Linked DNA regions of Oryctolagus cuniculus. The protein of the gene in region 3 purifies or fractionates together with the protein of the main gene of each other region. This does not show direct contact. Links are inferred from orthologs where the notes say so. Each region holds a gene or a part of one and is shown on either strand. Other genes may lie near its edges. The genes, in order: WASF2, ABI1 and BRK1.

What was found.
Region 1: the proteins of BRK1 (region 3) and WASF2 purify together in Homo sapiens (co-immunoprecipitation; 3 studies listed by BioGRID and IntAct, with this or other methods). This does not show direct contact. The link is inferred for Oryctolagus cuniculus from reciprocal best matches to the Homo sapiens genes BRK1 and WASF2.
Region 2: the proteins of BRK1 (region 3) and ABI1 purify together in Homo sapiens (co-immunoprecipitation; 3 studies listed by BioGRID and IntAct, with this or other methods). This does not show direct contact. The link is inferred for Oryctolagus cuniculus from reciprocal best matches to the Homo sapiens genes BRK1 and ABI1.

The regions. Positions count from the first base shown.
Region 1 is NC_091438.1:144,156,660-144,165,867, forward strand, and holds part of WASF2 (actin-binding protein WASF2), read left to right. Parts: intron 1-1,839; coding exon 1,840-1,957; intron 1,958-2,980; coding exon 2,981-3,111; intron 3,112-5,190; coding exon 5,191-5,346; intron 5,347-7,812; coding exon 7,813-8,321; intron 8,322-9,208. UniProt on the Homo sapiens protein: Downstream effector molecule involved in the transmission of signals from tyrosine kinase receptors and small GTPases to the actin cytoskeleton. Promotes formation of actin filaments. Part of the WAVE complex that regulates lamellipodia formation.
Region 2 is NC_091444.1:103,264,525-103,274,310, forward strand, and holds the start of ABI1 (abl interactor 1), read left to right. Parts: upstream 1-4,093; 5' UTR 4,094-4,302; coding exon 4,303-4,419; intron 4,420-5,284; exon of another isoform or gene 5,285-5,404; intron 5,405-9,786. UniProt on the Homo sapiens protein: May act in negative regulation of cell growth and transformation by interacting with nonreceptor tyrosine kinases ABL1 and/or ABL2. May play a role in regulation of EGF-induced Erk pathway activation. Involved in cytoskeletal reorganization and EGFR signaling.
Region 3 is NC_091441.1:116,683,895-116,693,667, reverse strand, and holds the start of BRK1 (protein BRICK1), read left to right. Parts: upstream 1-3,799; 5' UTR 3,800-3,894; coding exon 3,895-4,012; intron 4,013-9,773. Other genes in the region: FANCD2OS (FANCD2 opposite strand protein), read right to left, coding at 331-875, 1,814-1,883. UniProt on the Homo sapiens protein: Involved in regulation of actin and microtubule organization. Part of a WAVE complex that activates the Arp2/3 complex. As component of the WAVE1 complex, required for BDNF-NTRK2 endocytic trafficking and signaling from early endosomes.

The DNA.
Region 1 (9,208 bases), on a different chromosome or scaffold from region 3:
CCTTGCTGTGACTGGTCTTGAAAAAGAAGGTTGCCTTATAGATGACTTAAAGCCCCTCCCCTCTGGTGGTTTGGTAGTGTTGTCATTCTGCAAAAAAAAAAAAAACACACACACAAACACACACACACACACACAAACACTGGAGAGGGTCAGAAGGTGAATGTTTATTTTGCTTGCATTCATAAATATCTTTGGAACAGGTAAGAAGTAATTACAGGTAACAGATAGCTGGAGGCAGATGTCTGCTATCAGGCATGGCTACACCGAAGAGCAGAAATGTGTGTGGTGTATCCCTGTGAAATTCAGGGATGCCAGCCTGATTTAGGGGGCCTGGAAGCTTCTCACATATATGGCAACTCCCCATTTTGTTTGCCCTTAGCTTTCCAAGGGACCAGCTAGCAGAGCAGGACAGTTTGGACTCTGCAGCCTCCATCATTTATTTAGTCCAGCTGACTCAGGGACACGGTTTTGAGACAGGATGGGATCACACAGCTGATGTGTTGCATAGGATGGAATAAACAAATGACATGAAGAGAATTTTGTCAGTTAATGGCATTTTCCTTTGTAACATACAATAGCAGAATTAGCGTCTCTTCTTAGGTATCTGGAGTTGGCTTAACAGAAGCAAGAAAGCAGTGGTGTATCTCCTTCAGAACAAGAGTTACTGTAAAGTCTTACAGTTTAAAAAAAAGATTTATTTATTTATTTGAAGATCAGCGTTACACAGAGAGAGAGAGAGAGGAAAGGCAGAGAGAGAGAGAGAGAGGTCTTCCATCCACTGGTTTACTCCCCAGTTGGCCGCAATGGCTGGAGCTGCACTGATCTGAAGCCAGGTGTCAGGAGCTTCTTCCAGGTCTCCCATGTGGGTGCAGGGGCCCAAAGACTTGGGCCATCTTCTACTGCTTTCCCAGGCCATAGCAGAGAGCCGGATTGGAAGTGGAACAGCTGGGACCGAACCAGAGCCCATATGGGATGCTGGCACTGCAGGCAGCAGATTTACCTGCTACACCACACCACCAGCCCCAGAATAATATTAAAATAAGTGTTCCCCCCGAAGGCCATGCTTTCTGGACAGTGGGATTCCAACCAGGGTCGTTGGGTTTGGCCACTAGTTTATAATGACTCACAGTGCACTCTGTATTACTTTTGTAGCTACTAAAGATAGTGAGTGATAAGTCTTAGGTTCTTAAAACAGCTGACCATCTGTTCTCACCAGGGCCCCCTTGTGGTTGGGGGTATGGATGCTGTGCTGTGCTAAGAGGGAACAAGAAGGTGAGGTGCTGTGGTTATCTGTGTGCAGAGGAGTAACAGCAAGCACATGTGCACAGTTATGTATGTCTGAGGTGTGTGTGTGTGTGTGTGTGTGTGTGTGTATGTACACACAAGATCCTGCATGTGTATGCCCGGGTTTCAGGTGGGTGGAAAGCCCCTATCATTTCCTGGAGAGTCCTGGGGAATTGGAAGGGAAAGGGAAACCAGTGGCAGAAATCCCTCTGTTGTGCCAGGCTCTCCAGATACCTTTAGGGAGATGTCTGTGGCCATGCAAATGAGTAGAAATCATCAGAATTCCTGCTGTTGTAGTCTGTTCTTGCCCTGACCATGCAAATCCCTCTACCAGGAATTAAAAGTAAGGCTAAGGTTCTTAAAAAGCCAAATGAGGAGAGAGGTGCCATTCAGGGGCATTTAAGTGCTGGTATGGGAGAGGAAATATGCAATTGATTCGAATGACTTCTTGATTCCTTGGTGTAACAACTGTTAACTGGTAGGTGTTTGGAATATTGGATTTGGTTGGGAGCTCATCTGTCTACTGACAGCTGCTTGTCTTCATTTCTATCCCAGGGATGATGGAAAAGAGGCACTCAAATTCTACACCGACCCTTCATACTTCTTTGATCTTTGGAAGGAGAAGATGCTGCAGGACACCAAGGATATCATGAAAGAGAAGAGAAAGCACAGGGTGAGGGGAGAGGGGCCTCTGTTCTGCACATCAGTAGGCACGATTGTGGAGGGGGATAAAAAGGAAGCCAGCCTTATGTGAAGTGATTCCGGGTGGCTGCTTGCTTGGATGCCAGGTGAAACTCTTAAAAAAATGTGTCCTCACCAAGCACCACAAAGATGAAAGTATAAATCATACCAAAAATGTGTTTGTTCCCCCTAGCGCTATTAACAATTGAGTATATTCAGGCTGAGTTTTAGAAATTGACTTTTCTATTCACCATTTATTTCTCTTGCAATTTGCACCTGACTCTGCTGGACACTCGAGCCAGGCTAGGCCTTTCCCCACCAGTGTTGCAGCTCATTTCCCAGAGATGAGCACAAGGTTCTGTAGTAGCTGATTGGCGACAGGCGCGGTTTAACACCTTCACTGCTGGTTGGGCGGGGTCAGGGTGAGGGGAGGTGCCTAGGTTTTGGAGTTGCTCCCCTCTGCTTGGGCTTGGACTCCTGATGGTGTGTGTGTGACCTGTCAGTTGCGACCTCGCAATCCCATTAGCATGGCTGCCAGGAGGCCCAAGAGAGCGCCAGAGGCTAGTGCAGTGATACAGGCTGAAAATTTCTTCACTGGTTTTTGTTTTGTTTTTTTAACTATTTCCTTCTGTCTGTCCCAGATATCTGTAGCTATCATTACTTCTCATCTCTTGACTGACTTGTATACATGAGACAATAACAAATAGCTGTTCACTAGCTTCCTAACGATTAAAGCTGTTTAAAACCATGAATGAGTTATGCAAAGAAGTGGCAGCGTTGCGATTGCTAGAGGTGTTGGAGTACGTGTCTGAGCAGATATTTTGCCCGGGAGGTAATTTGGATTAGATGGCCTCTAGGTTACTCCAAACCCAGTAATTCCATAAATTCTCCAGGTACTTGGTATGCTATCTAGGCAGATCATCTCTGGGCTCTGTGTCCGTGAAGATGGGTAGGATTTTAATGAAGAACTTCGGAAAATATTTTGCAAAGGCTTTTCTATTCTTTTTCATTATAGAAAGAGAAGAAAGATAATCCAAACCGAGGGAATGTAAACCCACGTAAAATCAAGACCCGTAAGGAAGAGTGGGAGAAAATGAAGATGGGACAAGAATTTGTGGAGTCCAAAGAAAAGCTGGGGCCTTCTGGGTAGGTGATGCTTTTGTATTCTCAGTGACGTTCTTTGAAGGGGCTGGGGACAACAGTCTAACAGCTCTGGCACGACACCTTTCACAGCCCCTGAAGTCTAGCTGTGTGGCTTAAATCAATACCACTATTAATCAGCTACTTTAAAGTGCATCCATCCGATGATTAAAACTTGCTAAATAAATCAAGAGACTCAGCAATTTAAATGAGGTGACTGGAGTGGTCTGGAGCAGAAAGCCCGATGGCTTCTAGTGCCCTTCCTCTGCCAGACGTGGCTGTGTGAGAGGGCCTCAGAGGAGAGACTGCAAAGGGAAACAGAGTGGTCTTGGGGCCCCTTTGCCTCCAGAGCTTTAATGTGAAGGTCGAGCCTCCGAGCTGGGCATCGCCTAGGAGAGGGGCAGCCAGGCAGTGGAATCACGCACGTCACCAGAGCAGCTTTTCAGCCAGCCTTTGTCGGTCTTGGGAGAGAGGCTGGCTGAGGACTGAATGCAGACCTCAGAGACAGTGTGGGAAAGGCTGCTGGGCCAGCACCGAGGCTATATATCTCTGTGGAGAAACGGGAGATGTCAGTCTGACCCCATTTCCCAACACCAAATCACACTGGAGATTTAAAGGGGGAAAATGGTTTAAAGCTTGGTTTTATACCTATCCTGGTGTTTGACCTGTGTGACATTCGAAGCCGAGTCACCGTAACTGCTTGGTGTGAATGTCGCCCCGGTTTTCCTCAAGTATGTGGCATTCTGACTGTCAGAGAACCGTGCCAGCCCATGCCAGGTGTCTAGGAATGATAAAAGCAAAGAGCTGGGTTGTTCTTGCTTTTAGGAATAACTCTACCATGAAGATCTTGACTTTTAAAAATCTTGACACTTCTGACACTTGTTCTTTCTGGATTAAGAGATTTGTTATAAGGAGTGATGAACATGGGGAGAGGAGAAATGAACTTTCCCTGTACAGGGAAGTCAACCCCGAGGGCACCTTCATTACCTTCACCTTCCCCTAAAAGGGGCCATTTTGTTCTGTGGTCCCATCCTGTTGAGACAGGCATTTGTCATAGGCTCGGTGCCTCTCAGGCCAGGGAGCGTGCATCTTCAGAGTGCCCACTATTATGTGTGGAGTGGGGGTGATACAGATGGTTTTGCTTCCCGTCGCCCAGGATCTCTGGAGTTGGCCTGCGTGGCGAGGCTATCTGGACGTGCCTGCTGGTAAACCTGTAAATAGATGTGCCAGGCCTGCAGGACTCCAGGCCTGGGGATTTTCCACATCAGGGTGTCGTTCAATTCAGTTCATTTTCTGCAACCCTAGTTTCCCTGGGGTCTGTTCTAGATGAGTCCTTTTAGGACCCAGCAATGGTGGAAAGAAGGGGAGGTGGCACAGAGCAGGCTGTGTTTTTCTGACCAGTGCTCGGAGTTTGCTGTCGGAGGCTTATTGTTGTTCACTGGGAGCACATTCGCCCAAGGCCCAGTGCTCCGAGGGGCAGGCTCTCACGAGGCAAGCCCTAGCTAGCAACCTGTTTTAATCCGCAGCTCATTTCGTTTGATAAGAGACCTGGCAGAGAGGCCACGTTTGCTACCACACAGCAAGCTGCATTCATCCGTGGCTTGATTTTGCAATCAGATGCCTCCTTGGCCTTTGAGCACTCCAGAGGCTTGCCGACCTCAAAACCAGGCTGCGTGCTAATCACGTGTTTGCAGTCCGCCAGCCCCTCAGGCTTGGCTTCGCCCTTTGCCACAAGGCAGACTTTGGGATTCAGGTACAACTGCACCTAACATTTGGAAGAGAATTTTAAAAAATTTCTGGGTTTGAGAAGACCAGTACTGGAGAGCAAAAGCATGTTTGATAATCTGGGTCGAATCCTGTTTCCACAAACAATGAGGCAGAGATATCTGAAAGATATTTAACAACAGGATATTTACTCCTACAACAAAATTCAGTATAGCAGAAAGTAGATGTAGAGAATATTCTTATTTTACTTCTCCCTAATAGCTTTTGTATCAAATGCATTTTTGTAGTATCTTTTAAGAAGAAAAAAGTGTGCCCCTCGGGCTCTTTAAATGACAGCTTTGACACTGGGTTCCTTGTCAGGTACTCACCCACCTTGGTGTACCAGAATGGCTGTGTTGGCTCAGTTGAAAACATGGATGCAGGCAGCTATCCTCCACCACCACAGGCCGACTCCACCTCTTCACCTTCTCCTGCCTTCTCTGAGGACAACTTGCCTCCCCCACCAGCAGAATTCAGGTAAATCGTGGTTCCTCTTCCATCCACTCTGAGTGGTTAAACACTTAAGAATAAAATAAGGTTCAAAATCTAGGCCAGGACCACTGAAATAACTTTCAGTTGTGAGACACAGTAGGGTCAGTGAACTTATCTAAGGTCATACAGCCAGTTAGAGATGAGACAGAGCCATAGTCAGTCTGATTCCTGACTCTATTTTTTTTTTAAAGATTTATTTATTTATTTGAAAGGCAGCGTTACCAAGCAAGAGATCTTCCATCCGATGGTTCACTCCCCAAATGGCCAGGCTGAAACCAGGAGCCTGGAACTCCATCTGGGTCTCCCATGTGGGTACAGTGGCCCACACACTTGGGCCATCCTCTGCTGCTTTCTCAGGCATATTAGCAGGGGGCTGGATCGGAAGTGGAGCAGCTGAGATGCTAGCATAGTAGGCAGCAGCTTAACCCATTATGGTCCAATGCTGGCTGCTGAGCCTGTAGCCTTAACTGTTTTACCAGGCTGCCTATACCTGGAAAGATAGATGTCACCAACTTCTTGTTTTTTCTTTAGTTTTAGAAATGTTTGTTTATTTTTCTTTATTTGAAAGGCAGCAAGAGAAAGAGACATCCACTGGCTCACTCTCCAAATGCCCACAACAGCCAGGGCAGGGCTAGGCCAAAGCTGGGAATGAGGAACTAGGTCCAGGTCTTCCCATATGGGTGGCAGGGACCCAAGTATCTGAGCCATCACCTGCTGCCTCCCAGGGTGTGCATTACCAGGAGCAGAGTTAGGACTGAAGTGCAGTCCCTCTAGGATAAGATGCAGTTGTCCAAAGAGGCATCTTAATCACTAAACCAAACACCTTCTTTTTCTGTTTTTTTTTTTTTTTTTCTTCACTTGAGCGGCAAAAGGGCACTCCCATTCCACTGGCCTACTTCCCAAATGCCTGAAGTCACCCCCACATGGGGCCAAAGGTGGGAGCCAGGAACTCAGTCCAGGTCTCCCACTTGAGTGGCAGGAATCCAGTCACTTGAGCCATCATAGCTGCCCCTCTGGGTTCACATTAGCAGGAAGCTGGAGCCAGGAGCTGAGCCAGGTATTGAACCCAGGTACTCTGATATAGGACACAGGCATGCTCACTGGCATCTTAGCCACCGGGCTAAAGGCCCACCCCCTCTCTTGTTTGTTTTACTTTGCTTTAGCTCAGCATGAAATGAAGTAGAATGATCTGCTGTTCATGAAACAGTTAGCAGGGGCCTTGCCCAGTTGTCTAGGAACCTTGCAGATAGTCACTTGCTCTCCTGTGGCTTCTGGTTCATTTCGCTTCTGGGTAGAATCTCCAGAAAGAATGAAACAAAGGGACAAAGGGCATTAAATTTAGGATCTGTCCTGTTGGATATCTGTTCGTCTCCCTGGCACAGGTGCACAGGAGGGGCCAGCAGTCATGGCTGCGGACAGATCTGGGGGGTGTTTGGTATGGCACTGTGTGCTCGCTTCCTTTCCTCCTCTCTGATGCCTGACTCTTTGGACACTAAGGACCCCTCAGATGGAAACCTGAAGCTGTGCTGTCCTCCTCCATCTCCCCCCATTCTTCTTAGCCCTTGAAACTGCTAATCCCAAATCACTTCCTGCTGGTTGCCTTGTCAGATGCAGCTGAGGCCTGAAGGGCTGTGGAAAATTCCAAGATGGATGCTTTTCTAAGGAGTAGCTATTAGTGCAGGGCAGATACAAAGGTGGGGAGAAAGCCCTCAGCCTCACACATGGCCTGAGACCTTGCAGCTGCAGCTGAGCAAATCTGATCCCAGGAGAGGTGTAGCCTTAATCCTCTTTCAAACCTGGGTCAGGAGTCATGTGGCAGCTTCGTTTCCCGTCCCTGCAGTGTCTCAGATTGAGACTCGTTCACTCACAAGTCTTCCCCACATGAGCACTGAAGATGCAGTCACTTAAATCTATATCCTGCTTGGGTTTGGTCGCTTGGCTTGGATTTCCTGCCCTTACCAGATCTGGTGAATGTTAATAGCCTGAGAAATGGAGCCCAGTAGGTAGATGGTGGTTGAATTTGTATTCCAGTTACTTCTTGCATGCGCTCTGAATCTTGGCTCCAGGCTTAAACAACTGCCCATGGCTCACTCCTCCTAGCTGGGCTTCCAGAAGGACACCTTCCCCTGGAGAGCTGCCAGCCTAGAGGAGGACCTGAGAGCTCGCTCAGCTGGCGGATGGACGAGTCTCGTCCTCCCAGGAGTTAACCCTGACTCCTGACTGCACTCTTCTGGTGGTCAGAAGCTCTTTTCCTAATCGGGCTGCCCATTTCTTTGACAGTATCTGCGAATAGTTCCCCAGTTTTTCTTTATAACTGAGCCTCAAAGTGAAATGGAATAGTCAGCCGAGACACACCGAGACTTAGTGATAAGCCTAACCCTCGTCAGGGGAGTGGTGGGTGGCGGGGTGTTTGCATACTGAAAGTGATGGTTGGTCTTTTTTTCTTTTCAGCTACCCGGCAGACAACCAAAGAGGTTCTGGCTTGGCTGGAACCAAAAGATCCAGCATGGTCAGCCCAAGCCATCCACCCCCAGCTCCACCTCTAGGCTCTCCGCCAGGCCCCAAACCTGGCTTTGCTCCACCACCTGCCCCTCCTCCTCCACCTCCGATGGGTGTCCCACCTCCACCGCCACCTATGGGATTTGGGTCTCCAGGCACCCCTCCCCCACCTTCACCCCCATCTTTCCCACCTCACCCTGATTTTGCTGCTCCTCCACCTCCTCCCCCACCACCGGCAGCTGACTACCCAACATTGCCACCACCTCCCTTGTCCCAGCCAGCAGGTGGAGCCCCTCCGCCACCCCCACCGCCCCCGCCCCCAGGGCCCCCACCTCTCCCGTTCAGTGGTGGGGACAGCCAGCCTGCTATACCACCGCCACCTTCTGATGCCACCAAGCCCAAGTCCTCCTTGCCTGCTGTGAGTGATGCCCGCAGTGACCTGCTCTCCGCCATCCGTCAAGGTACATCCCAGTGGGGGGTCTGGAAATTTGTCTTCCTGAGCAGGGGTAACTGATGGAGACGAGGTAAAGGGAGCTCTGTGCTTTCCCCAGCTTCCACTGGAAGAGCAAGGAGAGAGTAGGCCTCAGGCCTCAGAACAGATTTCTTTCTATCTTGGTTTAAAGAATTTAAAATTTATTTTAAAGGTAGAGCGATAGATGTAGAAACAGAGAAACAGAGATCTTCCATCTACTGGTTCATTCCCCAAATATCCTGCACCAGTCAGGGCTGGGCCAGGCCAAATCCAGGAGCCAGGTATTCCATCTGGGGCTTCCACATGGGTTCCAGGGATCCAAGTCCCTGGGCCATCATTTGTTGCCTCCTAGGCACTTCAGCAGGAAGCTGGAATCAGAAGCGGAGCTGCAGCTTAACCCAGGCGCTCCCATATAGGATGTGGGTGTCCCAAGTGATGTCTTAACTGCTGTGCCAAATGCCCACCCCCTAAAGTAAAGAATTCTTTTTTTTTTTATTAAAGATTTATTTATTTGAAAGGCAGAGTTATATAGAAAGAGGGAGAGGGAGAGAGAGAGAGATCTTCCATCTGCTGGTTCATTCCCCACATGCTACAACGTCCAGGGCTGGGCCAGACTGAAGCCAGGAGCCAGGAGCTACTTCCGGGTCTTCCATGTGGGTGGCAGGGGTCCAGGAACTTGGGCCATTTTCCACTGCTTTCCCAGGCACATTAGCAAGGGAACCAATTGGAAGTGGAGCAGCTGGAACTCGAACCAGAATCCATATTTGATGTCAGCGTTGCAGGCAGTAGCTTAACCCATTACACCACAACGCCAGCCCCAGTAGAGAATTCTTAACCTGAGATATTTTTTTTAACTCCCTAAAAATGTTAAGCTTT
Region 2 (9,786 bases), on a different chromosome or scaffold from region 3:
CCTTTCAAATAAATAGATAGGAAGAAAAGAAGAAAAGAAGAAAAGAAGAAAGGAAGAAAGGAAGAAAGGAAGGAAGGAAGGAAGGAAGGAAGGAAGGAAGATACCAAATAAGTACTTCTCCAAAGTGGCCAGAACGTTTTGAGTTCTCACCAGCAGTGTGTGAGAGAGTTTCTTTTCTTTTTTTTTTTTAAGATTTATTTATTTATTTGAAAGTCAGAGTTACACAGAGAGAGGAGAGGTAGAAAGAGAGAGAGAGAGAGAGAGAGAGGTCTTCCATCTGCTGGTTCACTCCCCAATTAGCTAGAGCTGAGCTGATCTGAAGCCAGGAGCCAGGAGCTTCTTCTGGGTCTCCCACATGGGTGCAGGGCCCAAGGACTTGGGCCATCTTCTGCTGCTTTCCCAGGCCATAGCAGAGAGCTGGATTGGAAGTGGAGCAGCTGAGTTTCCAATTGGTGCCCATATGGAATGCTGATGCTTCAGGCCAGGGTGTTAACCCACTGCGCCACAGCGCCAGCCCTGAGAGAGTTTTATTGCTCTGGAACCTCAACAACACTGGTGTTATCAACCTTTTTATTTTTAATTGTTATATTGAATAATGGTATCTTGCCACATGTTTAATTTGTGTTTATTGAATGACTAATGGCATTTAAAATCATTTTTGTGTTCGTTTATTTGTCCATGTATCTTGTTTGGTGAAGCATCTGTTCAGATCTTTGGACTTATTTTAACAAACTGGTTTATTTGTCATCTCATTATTGAGTTGTAAGAGTTCTTTATATGTGATGATTAGTAAGATATTTGTTTTTCAGATTTTTTCCCCCAGTCTGTGATTTGCCTTTCATTTTCCTTCTTCTTTTTTGGGTTTCACTACAATTTATTAGTATGTGTCTTTAGTACATGCTCTGTGCTCTTGATGTACAAAGCCTGGATGTTGCCAATTCTTGAGCAAGGACACCAGGCTGTTGATAGCCAGGTAGATATTATAGACAAGCTCATTGTCTGTCATCTCTTCATGGCCAGTGGCCACTGGCAGATACAGCACCTGCTTCAGCTGGAACTAGATCGTGGACTTTCTATCTCATTGACTCTGGTCACTATGTTCTCATTGTGGGTCAACAGGGAAGGAAACTTCCCAGTATTATCCAAACCTGGGTCCATGATTAATGGAATCTGTTTGATTAGAGACTCTGAGTTCAAGAAGGCATCTACTCTTTGTCTATCTTCTCAACTAACTTCTTATTGTTGAGTTTTTTCAGCATCTTGATGTCCCCTGCTGGAAACATCCACAGCCTTTGCCTTGTCACACTGCTGTTCTCCAGGGCACTCACAAAGAACTTGGGGTAGAGGGTTAAGTCTGATGGTACCTAAGTGATTGCTTTAGAGTTGTGGTTCTTTGAGGACATCTGCAGCACCCCTGTTTGCAACAACTTCTGTTGCCTGTGTTCAGCTTCCATGCAGGACTTTTGTACCACCTCATAAAGAATGTCCTGAGAGACTGTGCTGCTCACAATAGCGTATACCACAGGGACTGAGGAAGACAGCTGCCTTTTCATTTTCTTAACAGTGTGTGTATGCTAAAAAATGCATTTTAACTGATGCATAAAAATGGTACATATTTATGGGGTAGCATGGAATGTTTTGAATACATTGTATAGTGTTCAAATCAGGGTAAACATATATATATATGCACACACGTGTGTATGTGTGTGTCTGTATCTCCATTAACAGTGTATTTTGGAACACAAATGTTTTACATTTTTCTGAAATCTAATTTGTTGTTTAAAAGAAAATCACTTGTGAGGGGGAGAGAGAGTATACAGGATAGAGAGAGAGGAAGGAAGGAGAGAGGGAAGGAGGGAGGGAGGGAGAGAGGGTGGGAAGAAGGAAGGAAGGAAGGAAGGAAGGAAGGAAGGAAGGAAAGAAAGAAAAAGAAAAAACAGATTTCGTGTCCACTGTTTCATTCCCCAAATGCCCACTACAGCTGGAGCTGGGCGAGGTGAAAGTCAGGAGCTGGGAACTTAATCCAGGTCTCCCACGTGAGAGGGAGACCATCACCGCTGCCTCCCATGGTGCCCATTAGCAGGAAGCTAGAGTCAGGATTTGGTGATGGGCATCAAACTCAGGCACTCTTAACCATTGGGCTAAGTGCCAGCTCCATGATCATCCTTTGAATGACATTTGCTTGCATTTAAATTCTAGGTTGAGAGTTGTTTATCTTCAATGTTCTAAGGATATAAGTCCTTTATATTCTGTAGGTCATAAAGTCAATTTAATGATCTTTACTAGTGTTACATGAAATAGAATAGGAAATATCAGAGTATATCATTTAGTTTTGTGAAACTTTTCTATCTCATACATTTTATACATATACATATATATATTATAGGTCATTGTACATTGTTATTTCTTATTTTGAATTGTGTCAAATAAAAGTTGAAAGCTGTTAGAGAATGGTACTGTGCTTTATGTATTTTTTAAAAAAGGTTTGTTTATTTGAAAGGCAGAGTAACAGAGAGGCAGAGACAGAGAGGGAGGAGAGAGAGAGAGAGAGAGAGAGAGTTAGTCTTCCATTTGCTAGTTCACTCCTCAAATGGCCACAATGGCTAGAGCTGGGCTGATCTGAAGCCAGGAGCCAGGAGCTTCTTCCAGCTCTCCCACATTGGGTGTAGGGATCCAAGGACTTGGGCCATCTTCTGCTGCTTTCCCAGGCCATAGCAGAGAGCTGGATCGGAAGTGCAGCAGCCGGGATTTGAACAGGCACCCATATAGGAAGCCGACACTGCAGGTGGCGGCTTTACTTGTTATGCCACGGTGCCGGTCTCTGTTTTGTGGTTTTATTCCTACAAACTCATTTATTATTGGATCAAATGAAGACATACTGTTTTATTTATTTTTAAAAAGATTTATTTACTTGAGAGGTATAGTTAGAGAGAGAGAGTGAAAGAGAGAGAGAGGAGAGAGAGAGAGGCAGAGAGAGAGAGAGAGAGAGAGAGAGAGAGAGGTCTTCCATTCATTGGTTTACTCCCCTAGTGGCTGCAACAGCCAGAGCTGAGCCATTCTGAAGCTAGGAGCTTCTTCCAGATCTCCTTCGTGGATGTCAAGGACCCTAGGACTTGGGCCATCTCCTACTGCTTTCCTGGGCCATCAGCAGGGAGCTGGATCTGAAATGGAGCAGCCAGGATTCAAACTGCTGCTCATGTGGGATGTTGGCGCTGTAGATGTGGGCTTAGCACACTAAGCCATCCCAGAAACTTTTTAATTTGGTTGAGTTATATTTACTACTCTAGATATTGTGGTTCTAAGTGTCTTCATAGAGACATGAAAATATGGACTTTCACATTATCTTCGTTTCGTCTTTGGCCTCAGGAAAACACTTTTCTTGGTCCATTATGTCAAAAGTATTTATGTACTGACTGTACTGAAATATAGGGCCGTTTGAACTTTTCCAAAAAAATTGATGATAAAAACAAAAATGACTATGTGCAACCAAAAGAAATAAGGAACTGATGAGTTTAAAAGTTTAGGAAGACACAGGCAAAGGAGCGTTAGAGAAAAAACCGAGGAGTGCAGGAGAGCGCTACAAGTGATGTACGTTAATATAAAAATTGTGAGTTTCCACAGGAACACAGTAGCTTCCTCCCTAGAGTCGCACCCTCAAACTGGCCATCAATGAACGTTTGCTAAATTTTAAATGAATTGGTGGAGGCGGAAGTTTAGGAAGGAAAGCCCGAGTCGCGCGCTATTTCTAAGGAGACAGAGGAAATAAAGACTTGGAGTTTCCTCACTTAAACGGATATCTCCGATTCACTGACATTTCGTAATTGACCAAATTCCTCCAAGTTTCACACAGCCCGGCTCTGGCAAACACCCTCGCTCTCAGGCGCCACCGTGCGGAGCTGGGAGGAAATTCTGGGCTTCAAACCACCACGCCCCGACGGCGTTCTGGACGTTCCTCGGGGTTGGCGGTCCGGGATTCCCTGGACGCATGCGCTCTTGGCGGGGAAGCCGAGCTGACGGGACTACAACTCCCATAAGACCGTGCGAAAGAAACCCCGCCCACGGTGGTGGTGGTGGGTGGTACGCAGAGAAATGAAAGCTCGCGAGACGTGGAGGCGGCTGCGCGCAGTGGGCGGAGGGCGGGTGGAGAGAGTGAGGAGGAAGAGGCGGTGGTGCCGTCCCACAATACCAGGCGGGAGGGCGGGTAGGCGGTGTGTATCCGGGCTGTGAGGTGCTGCGAGCCTCGGCGGACCCTGCTGCCCCTGTCTCTTTCACGCGCGAGGAAGCGATGCGGAGGGGTGGAAAATGGCAGAGCTGCAGATGTTACTAGAGGAGGAGATCCCGTCTGGCAAGAGGGCGCTGATAGAGAGTTACCAGAACCTGACCCGGGTGGCGGACTACTGTGAAAACAACTACATACAGGTGAGGAGCGCGGGCGCTCGGGGGGCGCGGCGGGGGGGAGCTGCCCTCCCCTCAGCCCCCGACCTCAGCCCCGACCTCAGCCCCGGCCCGGGGGAGCGCGAGTGGCCGGCCTGAGGGAGTCGGGCTGCCATACAGGAAGTGGCTGCAGCCCGAGAGAGAAAATGGGCGAGGGAGCCGGGAGCCCGCCGCCGCCGCCGCCGCCGCCGGGCGTCCCCCCGGGGGTCGCGCTGTCCCCGCCGGCGGGCCCCCGGCTGCCGCGGGGAAGGGAGAAGCCGGGTGTGTGTGTGTGTGTGTGTGTGTGTGTGTGTGTGTGTCGGCCGAGGGTGGGGTGGGGGCGGTTGTGTCAGGCCGGCCCAGAGGGTGTGTCTTTTATTTATTTATTAAAAAGGGGAAAAAAAAATTTTTGTCATGAGTCACAGTACGCAGAGCTCCCCGGGGGAGCGGAGGAAGCGGGCGTGGGGGGCAGAGAAGTGGAGCTTCAGATTCCTTTAATCGACGGCCGCCCGGCGCTTCTCCGGTGGGGTTCGTCCCCCGCCTCGGCCCTTCTCACTTCCGCCTCCCCGGCGTGGGGCGAGGGCTCGTGGGGGGCCGCCCGTCGCGGGGAGACCCGAGTGGGGGAAGCCACTCGGGGGAAAATGTCTTCTGATGCTCGTTCTCTTACCCACCCCTCGCCACCCCAAAAAAGTTCTTCCGCTGCGGGTTCCGTGAGGGACTGGACGAAGCCGGGTGTCCCCGGCGGCCGCTGCCTCGCCGAGGGTTCTCCCTGGCCAGCCGGGAGGCGGACCCGCCACCGGGCAGACGCCAGTGTCTCAGGAAAGTCTCGAGCCTCGTCAGTGACACACGCTCGTCTGGGTTGACGTTAACGTCTGGGCGTGCGGTGGTTCGGTGTAGGGATCGGGGTGATCCGGCCGCCTGCTCGGAAGCTCCTAAAGTAGCAGAGCCCTTTGTGTGGTTGTAATGGGACCCAGAAACGCACTTGGTATCGGTAAGGCGAGACCAGAACGTGCTTCCGTGAGGGCAGGGTTACTGCAATTCCGAACGAGAGCATGTATGGGAATAGCTGCCGTGTAAATTCATCATTTTTAAGAACCGGTAGCCCCAGTGTTAGCAAATGCTTTGCCTCTGTGTTTTGGAGAGAGAGAGAGAAACTGTTTCCAAAATATTTTGAATATTTCGCAGTTTTCATATTAGTGACATTGTATCTTCAGTAGCATTGCTAGGAACTTATCTTCATCATTTTTCCCCCAAGCTTTTACTTTGGGAATTCTGATAAATGCAGTTGTTGAACTCCTGCCACGTCTACTTTATTACTTATTTTTGCAAACTTTATGTTCAGTCTTTAATTTTTTTAAATCTATTAGAAATGTTGTAGTTTGCAAATAGAAAGGTGATTTTGTCATTTGTTGATATTAAAAATATGTGACTTTCATTCAGTTTAATGTGAAAAGAATTGAAAATGAAGTGAACCTTCATTTGCTGGAAGTTTGAGAGATTTTGAAAGTCAACGAGAGAGTCCAGGAAGTTAGATGGCTCTTTTGCTAGAAAAGGCATTTCTTTTCTGTGAGACTACAGCAAGTCCTTCATAAAAGGGTGGTGTAGTTTTGTTTTGCATGTTGGGAAATCTTACAAGTATATGGTGTGGTAACTGCTAGGTGTTGGCAAGTGTTGGTAGCTGTAAACCTGTTTTAACCTGTCTGTTGACTATTTCTTTTTCAGGTAGTATATGTTCTCATGCTTTCTGCCCCCCCTTGCTATGCTCAGCGTGTAACTTTGAAGCACCTTAGAACTTCATTGCTAGCTTTCCTCCTTAAGATCAAGCTACATCATTTCTCATGTAATTTTTCACTTTAACAAGTATAGTACCCTGGTGTCAAGAGGCACTGTCAGTGACCCTAAATTTTCTTGGTGCTCCTAAGGCTGACAGCAGTGAGGTGTTCTGATTTTACTGTTAAACGGGAAATTCTCAATACCTTGTAGCCTTTAGATTTGGGCTGTAGAAACCAGGCCACTAGTTGCCTTCTGAAGTGTTTCAGAGTCAAACTCACACAAGTAAGGAAATGATGTAGAAGTTGATGTGGTTGATGGTGCTGCTGACTTTGGTGCTGCTGACTTTGGTGCTATGGGGGAACAAGTATTACTAGAAATACTCATTCGACTGTCTATTGAGATCTTTTATAATCTTTCCATGGCCCTAACTGTAACCAAAACCTTGTGTAAATATGAGGAATCTTCATGAAACAGTTATATTTTAGAATTTAGGATTTTAGAAATTTAGAATTTTTTTGCACCAAAATAAAATTATCTTTTCATTTCTTCACAAACCTTTTGAAGTGTCCCCATCTACTGCCTCTCAGGACAAGTATGTGGTCACTTGCGTTTTGAGCAGTTTTTAATACCCAGTTGATGTACAGTTACTATGGTGATTTCTCTTACCCTGAGAATTCAATTTTCATTTTGTTACTTTTCCTCCAGTTTGAAAGTACAGTCCAGTTCAGTTAAAACGCTTAGCTGGAAGTTCTTTTGACTGCAGTACAATTGAATCTTTGGAGCAGTTTATTAGCTCTTTGGATTCTATTGACTCTAGCTGCTAAATTGTATTATTAATAGTAAAATTTCTCAAAAGACTCTACTATCTTAAAAAGGACAAAGTTTTATTTATTTGAGAGGCAGAGAGACAGAGCAAAATAGAGCTTCCATCTGCTAGTGTCCTTTCCATGCCTGAAATAGCCCTGGGCTCAGGACTGAAGCTGAGAGTTGGGGACACGGTCCAGGTCTCCGAGGTGAGCCATCACTGCAGGAAGCTGGAGACAGGAGCCTGGCCAGGTGTTGAATCTAGGCACTCCACTGAGGGGTGTAGACACCTCTACCAGAGGTGACCTGCTGGGCCAGAGGGCTGCCTCCAAGGACAGGATTTAAAAATTGTTACAAGGCAGATTCCTTCCTTCTCTATCTCTGCCTTTCAGATAAATAAATACTTATGAAGCAAATAGAGTACTAAGAGTAGAAGTGTTTTTATAGGAACATTTACATAGACATGGAGAAAGTTTTTTCCTTTTTTCATCTTTTGTTTGATATGCCCAGACTGAGTTTTTCTGGTGGATTATGTCAAGGATGAGTATCATCTAGCCAGTTCTCCTTGCTCTACGAAAGTGTTCATACCACTTTTTTTTATTTTTTAATTTTATTTGACAGAGTTAGTGAGAGAGACAGAAAATTTTTCCTTCTGTTGGTTCACTCCCCAAATGGCTGCTACAGCCGGTGCTATGACAATCCAAAGCCAGGAGCCAGGAGTTTTCTTCCCTGTCTCCCATGCGGGTGCAGGGTCCAAGCACTTGGGCCATCCTCCACTGCCTTCCCGGGCCACAGCAGAGAACTGGACTGGAAGAGGAGCAACTGGGACTAGAACCCAGCGCCCATATGGGATGCCGGCGCTGCAGGCGGAGGATTAACCAAGTGAGCCACGGTGTCAGCCCTCATACCGCTTTTGTTACGGGAAACTATTTGGGAAACAGGAAGGAAAGCTAAGAGAACAGGAGTAGAAGCTGCTTAAGGAAGGTTTCTCAGTATGTGCACTGCCAGGCTGGCTAAGGACAGGAGAATCTTCATTGATTGACTTTTAAATTTTATTTTTCTGTTTGTAGTTCCATCAACAGGAACTCATTTGGATTAACAAGTAGGTTCTAAGGTTTGGGAGCATAAAGTCACATGCTACTGTGAGCTACCTAGTTTAGTTTTTTTTTTTTTTTTTTTTTTTTTTTTTGACAGGCAGAGTGGACAGTGAGAGAGACAGAGAGAAAGGTCTTCCTTCTTCCTTGTCCGTTGGTTCACCCCCCAATGTCCGCTGCAGCCAGTGCACTGCGTTGATCCGAAGCCAGAAGCCAGGTGCTTCTCCTGGTCTCCCATGGGGTGCAGGGCCCAAGCACCTGGGCCATCCTCCACTGCACTCCCTGGCCACAGCAGAGAGCTGGCCTGGAAGAGGAGCAACCGGGAGAGAATCCGGCGCCCCGACCGGGACTAGAACCCGGTGTGCCAGTGCCGCAGGTGGAGGATTAGCTTATTGAGTGTGGCGCCGGCCCTAGTTTAGTTTGTTTTATTCTTCCTGTGACATTTGCTTGATTTTCCACATTAGATCTTGGAAAGCAGGTAATTTTTGAGCAGCAGCACTTTGGAATAGGTAAAAGCTAGCATTTCTGGTTCTGTGCAGTTTAAGCCACTTTATAACAATAAATTATGATTTTTTTTCCCTAAGAGGTGAACAATCTGAGATTTAGAGATGTTAAATATCTAGCCGAAAGTTTAATATATTTTTTTTTTTAATTTATCTATTTGAAAGGCAGAGTTAGGGAGAGGTAGAAGCAGAGAGAGTGAGAGAAGGTTAGAGAGAAAGTCTTCCACCCATACTGGTTCACTTCCCAAATGGCTTCAATGGCTGGAGCTGGGCCAGTCTGAAGCCAGGAGCCAGGAACCTTCTCTGGGTCTCCCACATGGGGGCAGGGGCCCAAGGACTTGGGCCATATTATACTGCTTTTCCAGGCCATAGCAGAGAGCTGGATAGGAAGAAGAGCAGCCAGAACTTGAACCGGCACCCATGTGGGATGCTGGCACTGCAGATGGTGCAACAGTACAGCACAGCACTGCCCCTAGAGTTCAATATTTCGTAGGCCTGGATTCAAACCTCTGTTATTCTTTCAAAATAAATTTTAAGATTTTTTTTTTTTAAAGACATCTGTTTCTTAATAAAAATAAAGAATGTGGGGGGAGGGTAATAGAAGAGTAGAGGGTGGTATAGTTACTTCTGTTACTGAGCATCTACTGTGTTACTGTCTGCTGATTGTACCTTTTTTTTTTTTTAAAGATGATAAGCCTTTTTTTTTTTTTTTTTCTTTTTTAGGATTTATTTGAAAGGCAGAGTTACGGAGAGAGATTGATTGTCTATCTTTTGGTCCACCCTCAAAATGACCGTAACAATCTGAGCTGGCCAGATTGAAGCCAGGAGCCAGGAGTTGCTTCCGGGTCTCTCACGTGGGTGCAGGGGCACAAGCACTTGGGCCATCTTCTGCTGTTTTCCCAGGTGCATTAGTAGGGAGCTGGATCAGAAGTAGAGCAACCAGGACTCAAACCAGTGCCCATATGGGGTGCTGGCATCACAGGTGGTGGCTTTACCTGCTGTGCCACAGCACCAGCCCCAAAAAGATGATTTTTAATCAGAAATGAAATTTACTAGTGAATAAAAAAAGAAAAGAAAAAATCTTTGTTTGGTCCTATAGTAATTGGCAATCAGGAATTGTATCTCACTTTTTTTAAATATTTATCTATTTGAAAGGCATTTTTAAAATATTTATTTATTTGAAGGCAGAGTTACACAAA
Region 3 (9,773 bases):
GTATGTCATGTGCTCTGGCCCCCAGCAGTCCCTTCTCCTCCCTTGACACCCTCGCCTGCAGCTCATCGTGTTCTTAGGCGGTCCAGTGAGTTCACACCGGGCTCATTGTGTATATGGTTTGTTTATTGGTTCTTTATCCCATGAACAAGTCAGTGCTAGTGTGACCCCAAACGGCTGTTAACTTCGCCGTGGAGATGGTCTCCCTGGCTCTGTCACCAGACACAAGGGAGGAGCTCCTGAACTGTCGGCGCCTGACAGAAGGGCAATGGCGCAGCGGGGTCTGTGTGGACACAGCAGGGCCGCCGTGGCGAGCTGGGTCAGCGGGACCCTTTACTTGGAGTGCTGCAAGGCGAAGGTGCACTTCTTGTACGTCGCGTACAGCAGGAGGATCGAGCGCAGCATCTGTTTACACATCGTCACTGTCATCTCGATCTGGGGCTCCTTGAGCCCCGTGGGCCACTGGTGCTCCCTGCTGATGATTTTGCAAAAGGCGGACTTATCTGAAACGCGGAAGGTTCCGGTCCACTTCGGTGGCTGAGCTGTGATGACCCTGCCAAAGACAGAGTCCACGCCACTGAGGCGGACAGGCTGGGGCTTCCTGACGAGCCCTTTCTTGATGTTCATCGTGCGGAGCTCGGATGTGTGACACGGTAACTTGGGGCTCACTCCAGGTTCCAGGAATGGGCTGTCTAGGACCAGAGTGACCTCTTGAAAACACAGCTGCACTTCAAGGTCAGAAGGGGTGTGCGGGAGGCAGGGGGAGGCCCTAAACGGGTGCTTGGAGGAAGGTGTAGGTGTCGTGTGCCGCAGCCATTGGAAGCTCTCGTCCAGTGGGGTCCATGGTGACCAGAGCTGGTATCCTGCCATTGCGAGTCCTAAAGGAGAGGAATGAGAACAGAGTTTCTCGGCATGTTTTTGGTAGTTCAAACACATCCCTTTGTGCCATGGCTGACACTGGCTCTGTGGTTCCCGCAAACAGGCCCAGAGTCAGGGTGTGTGAAGGGCACTAGGGGACAGGAACAGGTATTGAATCAGGCAACGCAACTGCTGTGTGTACTAAGACTTAAACTTGAGCGATGGCCTCTGAAGATGGATTTTTAGTTCATTTTACAGACAAGGAAATGGATTTGTCTAAAATGGAATGGCCGGGTCTGCGACTGGGACTTTGTGGGGTTGGGACTGCTAATGATAGAGTCTACACCTCTGAGATGGCCTGTTTCAAGACCAGGTCTCTCAGAGGTGTGCTCTGCCCAGTGGGTCTCCCAGTACGCTCCCACCATAGTTTGTGAGGCAGTACCGTTCATTTTTCAAGCGGATCTGTTGGTGACATCTTGGACCCAAAGACCCGCCCTGAGGGTGGTTAGTATACAGATTGGCGGACTGCCCAGCGGGGGTGTCCCCACGGTCTGTGCTTGCCCTTCCCAAGCACTGGTGTTCAAGCGTCCGGCCGCCTTGGGAGGAGAGACAGACGCGGTCATCCTGCGGACGCCCCCGGGGCCACCCTGGTGGCGGGGACCCCGGGCAGCGCGGGGCGGGGTGGGGGGCTTCAACTGCTCTGCGCCGAGGACCATTAGTTTCCTATTCCTGACTCCGCAGCCGGACACGGGCCGGAGATGAAAGGCTTTGCAAAGGGCAGAACCGACTTCCCGCCGAGGTCTCGACCCCTTCGCCGGAGGTTTAAATCAAGATGGTTCGCCCCGTCCCCGCCACCCGGAAGTCTGTTCCTCCCGGACAAAACCGGACACTCTGTCCCCCGACGTCCCCGCCGGGAGGGGCCCCCCGAAACCCCGCGGGAGGAGGCGCTCGTCCGTACCCGGGGGCGGGGGCCAGGCGGCTCCGGCCGAGGCGCAGGCGGCTGCGGGAGCCGGGCCCGGTCCCACCATCGGGCCGGCGGCGGCTCACCTGCTGGACTCCGCGGTCCGCACGCTCCAGAGTGGCGGCCGCGACTCCGAGCCGCATCTTTCCTCCGCGGGGCTCCTGGCAACCGCCTTTGTGACCCGGGGCCGCGGGGGAGCCCGAGCCACGGGCGGCGGGCAGGGCTCGAGGCGGCCGGCGGGCAGGGAGCCCCTCTCCGCCCATCGTCGGACGCCCGGAGCTGGTTCGAATCCCGCCCCGGGCTTCCCCGCCTGTTGCACACGGTTCGGTGCCATTCTTAGCTGAAGAGCGGACACGGTCATCCCAGTGGGAGTGATGCGCCGGCTCTGACGGCGGGCATTGCACAGCTGCGCGGTGTCAGGCAGCTGCAGCCCAGCGCGGGGCAGCGAGCACTGGGCACTTGCCGCGGGCTGACCGGTGCCCGCCTGCCCCTCCCCGGTCGGCGTGGAAGCACTGGGCACTTGCCGCGGGCTGGCCGGTGCCCGCCTGCCCCTCCCCGGTCGGCGTGGAAGCACTGCGCACTTGCCGCGGGCTGGCCGGTGCCCGCCTGCCCCTCCCCGGTCAGCGCTTGGCGAGCAGGGTCACCGTCTGGCCCTGCAGGTGAAGGGATGGAGACGCGCTGAGGGGCTGAGGTGGGGTCAGGCTTCGGGAGACCACAGCGGCTCAGAGGCCTGGCAGATCCTTGGTCTGTGTGTGGCTCATAAATTAAAAACAAAAACACAGGGGTGGGAGGCCGGCATTCAGCCCATGCCCCAGCTCGGGCGACTGGGTTCCTGCCATGCACATGACACCCCTGGGCCGGGTTCCCCGCTCAAAGCTCGGCGTGGGCACTCGAGGACTTCAGCAGATGCGGGCCCTGTCTCCCCCTCCTCGCCCCTCTTCCCCTCGACCTCTTAAAGGGGGCAGTGGCTCCTCTTTTAACCCATGCTGCCTTAGGGGAGAGCAGGTCTCTTCGCTCCCTGGGACAGGCAGCTAGGGGGACCACAGCCTCACCTGGCTGGGGCAGCGCGGGCCGGGTGTATTATTGCTTTAGGAAATTGTGTGACTACAGGGGAGCTCGGACAGGCCTCCTGCCGTTCTCAGGGTCCAGGGAGACGTGGACAGTCAGCGGGACAGGGTTCACCTGCCGGCGACGACCCTGCGGGTCCCGTGAGAATCAGCTGCAGACACATCTCTACAGGCGTCCAGGAATCAAAGGGCTGTGCGCACTGGGGTCTTCCCCGTGACTGCCAGAAACACGGATCCCTCCGCTTTTTTTTTTCCTTTTTATCAAAGGCATTTCTGCATACCAGAAAATACTCCTTGAGACAAAGGTAAAATTGCACGTTATTCCACCGCCTTAACAAGCCCCGCACTGGTTTGGGGTTACACTCGTCCCCACCTATCAGACATGATTTTTGCCTAGTGGCAGTTATTAAAAATGTGCATCGTTTTCCCCCTCGGTTTCTCCAGTGCGCCCCGTTCCCGTTGCCAGGTGCTCCTAGTTAGCATCTAAAGGACAGTATAGTATTTTATTATCGCCTCGGCCGGCTGCAGCAGATCAGGGTACAGAGCGCATCTCTGCCTCGAGTGGTCTGTGTCCGTAATTTTCAAAAGCGCTGGGTTACGTAACCGCTCCGTTACAGAGTTCCTCCTGAGCGGCCCGGGCTCGCCCCCGCCGCCGCCGAGTACGATCAGGCTCTGTTCCCTCGGCGAACGCGGCGTATCGCTGCGGCCACCTGGGCGGACGCGAGGGAAGCCCACGCGGCCCCTAACGCCCACAGCGGCCCGCCGGACGTGGGCGTGCGGCGCCCTGCGCAGGCGCACAGCGCTCCTCCCCGAGCCGCCGCTTTGCTTTCCGCGGCGTGGGCGCCGGGTGCAAACGCAGGCGCGGACGTGACGCTGCGCAGGCGCATCACGAAGCCCGTGGAGTCGTGCGCGCCCGGGGCGGGTTGGGCCTGGGGGCGCAGGCGCACTGGCTGCCTGTGGGGGGGCGGGTGTCGCGGCGCCTGCGCAGCCACTCTTCCTTCGGCGGCCGCCATGGCGGGGCAAGAGGATCCGGTGCAGCGGGAGATTCACCAGGACTGGGCGAACCGGGAGTACATTGAGGTCATCACCAGCAGCATCAAGAAAATCGCGGACTTTCTCAATTCGTTCGGTCCGTGGGCGAGCCGGGGTGGCTGGGCGGTGGGGGGCCCTCCGCGGCGGCCCGGCGGGGACCCTGAGGGGGCGCTTGCGGCCGCGTTCCGGGGTTCGCTTCCTGCTTCAGGCCCCACCTTCCCGCGTCTCCCTGGCCCTCGGGCAGCGCCTGGCCGGCCAGGCGGCCCCGTCCACCCGCGCGGCGTCCGCTTCCATTGCGCCCCCTCGCTGCTCGGGGGGTCTGCTCCGCGCGCTCCGGCGGGCCCCCCGTGGGCTGGGGTCGGGGCCGGGAGGTCGCCGGAGGTGGCGCGCCGTGGGCCCGGCTCGCGCGGCCGAGACAGCCTTGCAGGAATCCGGGCGCGGCCTGCCCGAGAGCCCGTGAGCGTTCCCTCTGCCGCCCCTCGCCCCGGCCGGCCAGCGCGGGGTGCGGAGGGCAAGAGTGGCCTGTTTCCTCGAAGGGTTCTTCTGTCTGCTCGTTGAGCAACGTGAAGCCCTTCCGGTTAAACGGGAGAAACCTGCGTGCACGTGTGTCATTGCAGAAGCGTTTAGAACGAGTCAGTTCCCCCCGCCCGCCCCCAGCTTCCATCCGCTGGCTCGCTCCCTAGATGGCCGCAGTGGCCAGGCCTAAGCCAGGAGCTTTGTCCGGGTCTCCCACGCGGGTGCAGGGGCCCAAGCGCTTGGCCATCCTCCACTGCTTTCCCAGGCCATTAGGGAGGTGGATGGGAAGTGGAGCAGCCGGGACGCGAACCAGCGCCCGTATGGGATGCCGCCCCGCGGTGGCAGCCCTGGATGAATTATTTTCTAGGTGGTGAGGCGAGAGCTGAGCGAGGAGCCGGCTCCGAGGTTGGGGGAGGGCACGGGAGGACCATTTGCCTCCCTCAGAGCTCTTGTCTTGGTCACACTTTCTAAGGATACTTCTGTTGCATTTGTAAGGCGGGGAGGTCATCATCTTCTGGTTAGGGCCGGAACAGGCTGGAAGCGGGGCCAGGCACTCGGCCTGTGGCTCTCACGCGTGACAGGAACCCCTGCTCGCTCCCGGGGTGTGCGTTAAAGGGGAACTGGGGTGGGAGTGGCGTGGGGCCCCAGCCCCGCAGCCGGTGCGGTGGCGTCGCAGTCCCGCCCTGAGCAGGGTCTGACTGAAGCCGAGGCCGGGACAGCGTGGAGGAGGGGACCGTGCGGAGGTGTGGGGGCATGGCGAGGCCCTCCCTCCGGAGGCTGGGGCTGCAGGCGCTGTTCCTGGGAGGACGGGCCAGGCGTGGGTGTCCGTGGTGTGTGTGAAGGGCGTGAGGTGCTGCAGAGGCTGGTGGGAAACAGTGAAGTGAAAGGGACGTAAGTGAAGCAGTGTCTTGGAAAAAATAAATGGCAAGACTGGTTTTAGTGAACTGACAACATGTGGGAAATACCGACTGACTCGCCCGGCTCCTCTGGGTTTCCTCAGAATTTGTAAAGTTCTGTACAAGTTGCTTCAGTATGATGTTTCATTATTCTCACAGTTGGTTCTCCTCTTTCCCAGATAACTGAAATGTTAAGGGTTCTTCATAGCATTTTTTCCCCCAAAGATTTATTTATTTATTTGAAAGAGAGAGAGAGAGGTCTTCCATCCTCTAGTTCAGTCCCCACATGGCCATGACGGCTAGAGCTGCGCCAATCCGAAGCCAGGAGCCAGGAGCTTCTTCCGGGTCTCCCATGTGGGTGCAGGGGCCCAAGCACTTGGGTCGTCTTGCACTGCTTTCCCAGGCCACAGCGGAGAGCTGGATGGGAAGTGGGTGGGATGCTGGCGCCGCAGGCAGCGGTTTTCACCCACTGCATGATGGTTCCGGCCCCTTCACAGCATTCTTCACGCAAAACCTTTGTTAGAGAAGGACTACGTGGCAGAAACCAAAATATTCCATGCAGGGGACCGGTCAGGTTGATAGGTGACAGGATCCTGGCTTTGAGACTTCGGAGGGCAGTAGTTGGAAAGATCACTGACCTGGGACGTTCTAAGTTGGTCTGAAAAAGCAGAATGAAAATACTTGGTTCATACGGTTGTGCTTAATAACTGACACGCACCCACCGAGTACTCATCCAGGTTAAGGTCAGTTCAGGCGCCCGAGCTTCGGACATAGCAAGCTGGCTGGGGCGGCTTTTCCAGTGTGGACGTGTCTAGCCCCTCAGTCCTCCAGCTGGGGTCTAGGCAGTGTGGTAAGTTCACCTCTGAGCACAGAGTCGTATCGTGTATCTGTCTTGAACCCTAGTCCCACCAAGTTGGCTGGGTCTTGGGGCTGACTGAAATGGAGGCGTGATGGAGGATGTGCAGGGGCACAGTGTTGCTTTCTTGCCGTCTGCGCTCTGGCGGGGTCACATCTGCTCAGTTAGAGGAGGGATTTGCTGTTCTGTTTGGGATTTCCACCAGGGCCGAGGCCGACGAAATGGACATGCAGAATTTTAATCTTCAGGAGCCAGAAAGAAATAGCTTCTCATGGCTGTTGTCCTCCACTGAAATGATGATGGTGGCCGGATGTTTGGTGTCGTTTTTGAAAATGTTAGAGAATGAGTTTAGTACTGAAGAGTTAGAAATAAGCACAGTGTTACGATGGGTGCAGGGCTGAGCGCCATGGCACCGCGGGGTAAACTGCTGCTGGACGACCTGCGGCCCCCGTCAGGGGGCTGGTTCAAGCCCCAGCTGCGCAGCTTTTGGTCCTGGGAGGCAGCAGGTGGGGACTCAAGGACTCGGGTTCCTGCTGCCTGCCTGGGAGGTCTGGATGGAGTCCCTGCTCATGGCTTTGGCCTGACTCAGACCTGGCTGTTGCAGTCATTTTGGGGCGTGAATCAGTGGATAGAAGATTTTTTTCTTTCTCCATCCCTCTGCGTTTCAAATAAATAAGTAAACCTTTGGGGGAAAAAATTTAAAGCATCTGGAGTGGGTGTTTGGCACGGTGGTTGATAGGCCTCTTGGGAGAGCCCCGCGTCCGTGTCGGAGCGCCTGAGGTCGGGTCCCAGCTCTGCCCTCCGTGTCGGAGCGCCTGAGGTCGGGTCCCAGCTCTGCCCTCCGTGCCGGCTCCCTGCTGCTGTGGGTCCTGGGAGGCCAGCGGGTGGTGGCTCAGGGACTCGGCTCCCTGCCAGCTGTGGGAGACGTGCTGGGCATTCCTAGCTCAGCAGTCCTGGGTGTTGCAGCCATTTGGAGAGTGAGGCAGTGGGCGGGAGATGTGTTTCTGCCTTTCAGATGAAATGAAATATAAATTAATAATACATTTTTTTAAAATTTAAAGCAAATTGACTTAACACTTAGGTGTGTCTGAGGGAAGTTCCTGAAGATTGGCAGTGTAATGATTCAAGAGTTTAGACAAAGACAACAGGCTGAGAGACTGGTTAATTCTTCAGATTGGCCTTGAGTGCGTGGCTTTGGCGTTGGATGACGTGGGGTGAAATTGTGTGGGCTGCATTTTCTGCTCTCAGTGCTCAGCCCCCGCCATGTGGCTTTGTCCTGGGTTTATGTGAATTGGTGGTGTGGAGTCAGGAGGAGGTTCTGGAGGTCTTTGAACCTGGCAGCAGGCCTGTGGTCCTCACAGCTGGAAAGGGAGCTGTTTTCCCAGGAGAGCTAATGGCTTTATGACCAGCTTCCTCCCTGTAGGCCCGGCTGGCGAGAGCAGTCAGCATGTGGATCCCTGGACAGGCACATCGTGATACAGCGGTGCCCTCTGAACACCAGGCCTGCTCTGTGCTTCGGAATTAATAGTCACAGATTATAGCTTTCTATTTTTACACTTTTCCCCAATTCTAAAGCTAATACTTGCAGAGAATTACAAACAGAAAAGAAAACAAATGCAGCTATTTCTTAAAAATTGGTTTTTAATGCTTAGTCAACAAGTGTAACATGCTCGTGGTCCATCTGGGTGTCAGGTTCTGAGAAAGGAGTAAAGAAGAGTAAATGGAGGTAGTGCCCATTCCTGGAAGAAGGGTAGAATTTTTTTTAAGGATTTATTTATTTACTTGAAAGTCACAGTTACACACACAGAGAGAGAGAGAGAGACAGAGGTCTTCCGTCCGATGGTTCACTCCCCAATTGGCTGTAACGGCCGGAGCTGTGCCGATCAGGAGCCAGGAGCTTCTTCTGGGTCTCCCACATGGGTGCAGGGGCCCAAGGGCTTGGGCCATCTTCTACTGCTTTCCCAGGCCACAGCAGAGAGATGGATTGCAAGTGGAGCAGCCGGGACTAGAACCCGCGCCCATATGGGATGCTGGCGCTCCAGGCCAAGGCATTAGCCCGCTGTGCCATGGCGCTGGCCCCAAGAAGGGTGGAATTTTGTTAGAAAAATAAAATTTAACCTGCTGTTAAGCAGTTCAGGGACAACATGGTGTCGGTGTTTGTAGTGCTGAGGTCGTACGTACGCAGTGAGAGTGTGGGAGAGGGGTCCTCTGCGATTATGTAGGTGGGATTTGTTCAGCTGCTGCGTGCTCTCCTGATCTGTTTGATTTGAACCAGTTAATACTTAGTGGAAATAGGACCAAGCTTTGTAGAGTTGAACATCCTCTACTTCTCAACAGTATTTATTCATTTAGGCCGGTAGCATAGGATTGGTTTTTTTGTTCACTTGTTTTGAGAGGCCGAGGGTCAGAACTCCCATCCACAGGTTCTCTCCCCAGACGCCCACAAGTGAAGCTCAAAGTCAGTTCAGTCCAGCTTCCCGTGTGGGTGGCAGAGACCAGATCACTTGAACCATCACCTCCTGCCTCCCAGAGTCGGTATTAGTAGGAGAATGAAGTCAGGAGCCAGGGCTGGGTGTCAGATTGAAGCATTCATGATGCCGGACACACTTGTCTTAACCACTAGTCTGAACGCCTGCGCCCTTAGCATTGTTCTGAGCTGTGTGATTCGTGACCAGATTGACAGCCAGACTGAAGTGCCGGCCTGGAAGGAGCCCTCCTTCTCACTTCCTCCCCCTCATTGTTTTGGTGTGTCTGTCTGTCATGGGAAATGACAGGTTGTGCAAGATAACATTCGTGCTGTCGCTAAATAGCTTACATAATGTGCTGTGGAGCTCCCAGAACCAGGGAGCAGACATTTAGGCAGTCGTGTCTGAGAAGAGGGATACTGAGGAGCCCCGCGCAGCCAGACCTCCAACCAGCAGGTGAGGACGAGTGAGAAGGAAGAATATCCGGAATAGAAGTTTCAGCCTCAAGCGGTGGTGGTTTCTGGAACTGCCGAGGCCGGATGGGAGGGCGCACAGATGCAGGTTCCATCGGGGTTGATGGGAACGTTCACAGAGCAGTTCATGGTCATGGTTGCACAATGCTAACTGTATTTTTACAAACCACTGAATTGTGTACTTCTGCGTGGATGTAAATTACATGTAAATCAAGTGACTTTTAGAAGGATAATGGGGTGGACGTTTGGCCCAGCAATTCAGACCCTGGATTGGGATATTGGATTTCATACAAGGATCTGGGTGGGAATCCCAGCTCTCCTGCCTTTTCCCACTTCCTGTGAATGCTCACCCTTGGTGGTTCCTGCCCACCCGCACGTGATAGACCTGGATTAGGTTTCTGGCCATCGTCAGGCTCCCCTGACTGTTGCAAGCATATATTTTTTTTAAAGATTGACAGTATGAATTCTTTAACAGATTTATTTATTTATTTGAAAGAGTTACACAGAGAGAGGAGAGGCAGAGGGAGAGAGAGAGGTCTTCCATCCACTGGTTCACTCCCCAATTGGCCACAATGGCCGGAGCTGCACCGATCCGAAGCCAGGAGCCAGGAGCTTCCTCCAGGTCTCCCACGCACGTGCAGGGGCCCAAGGA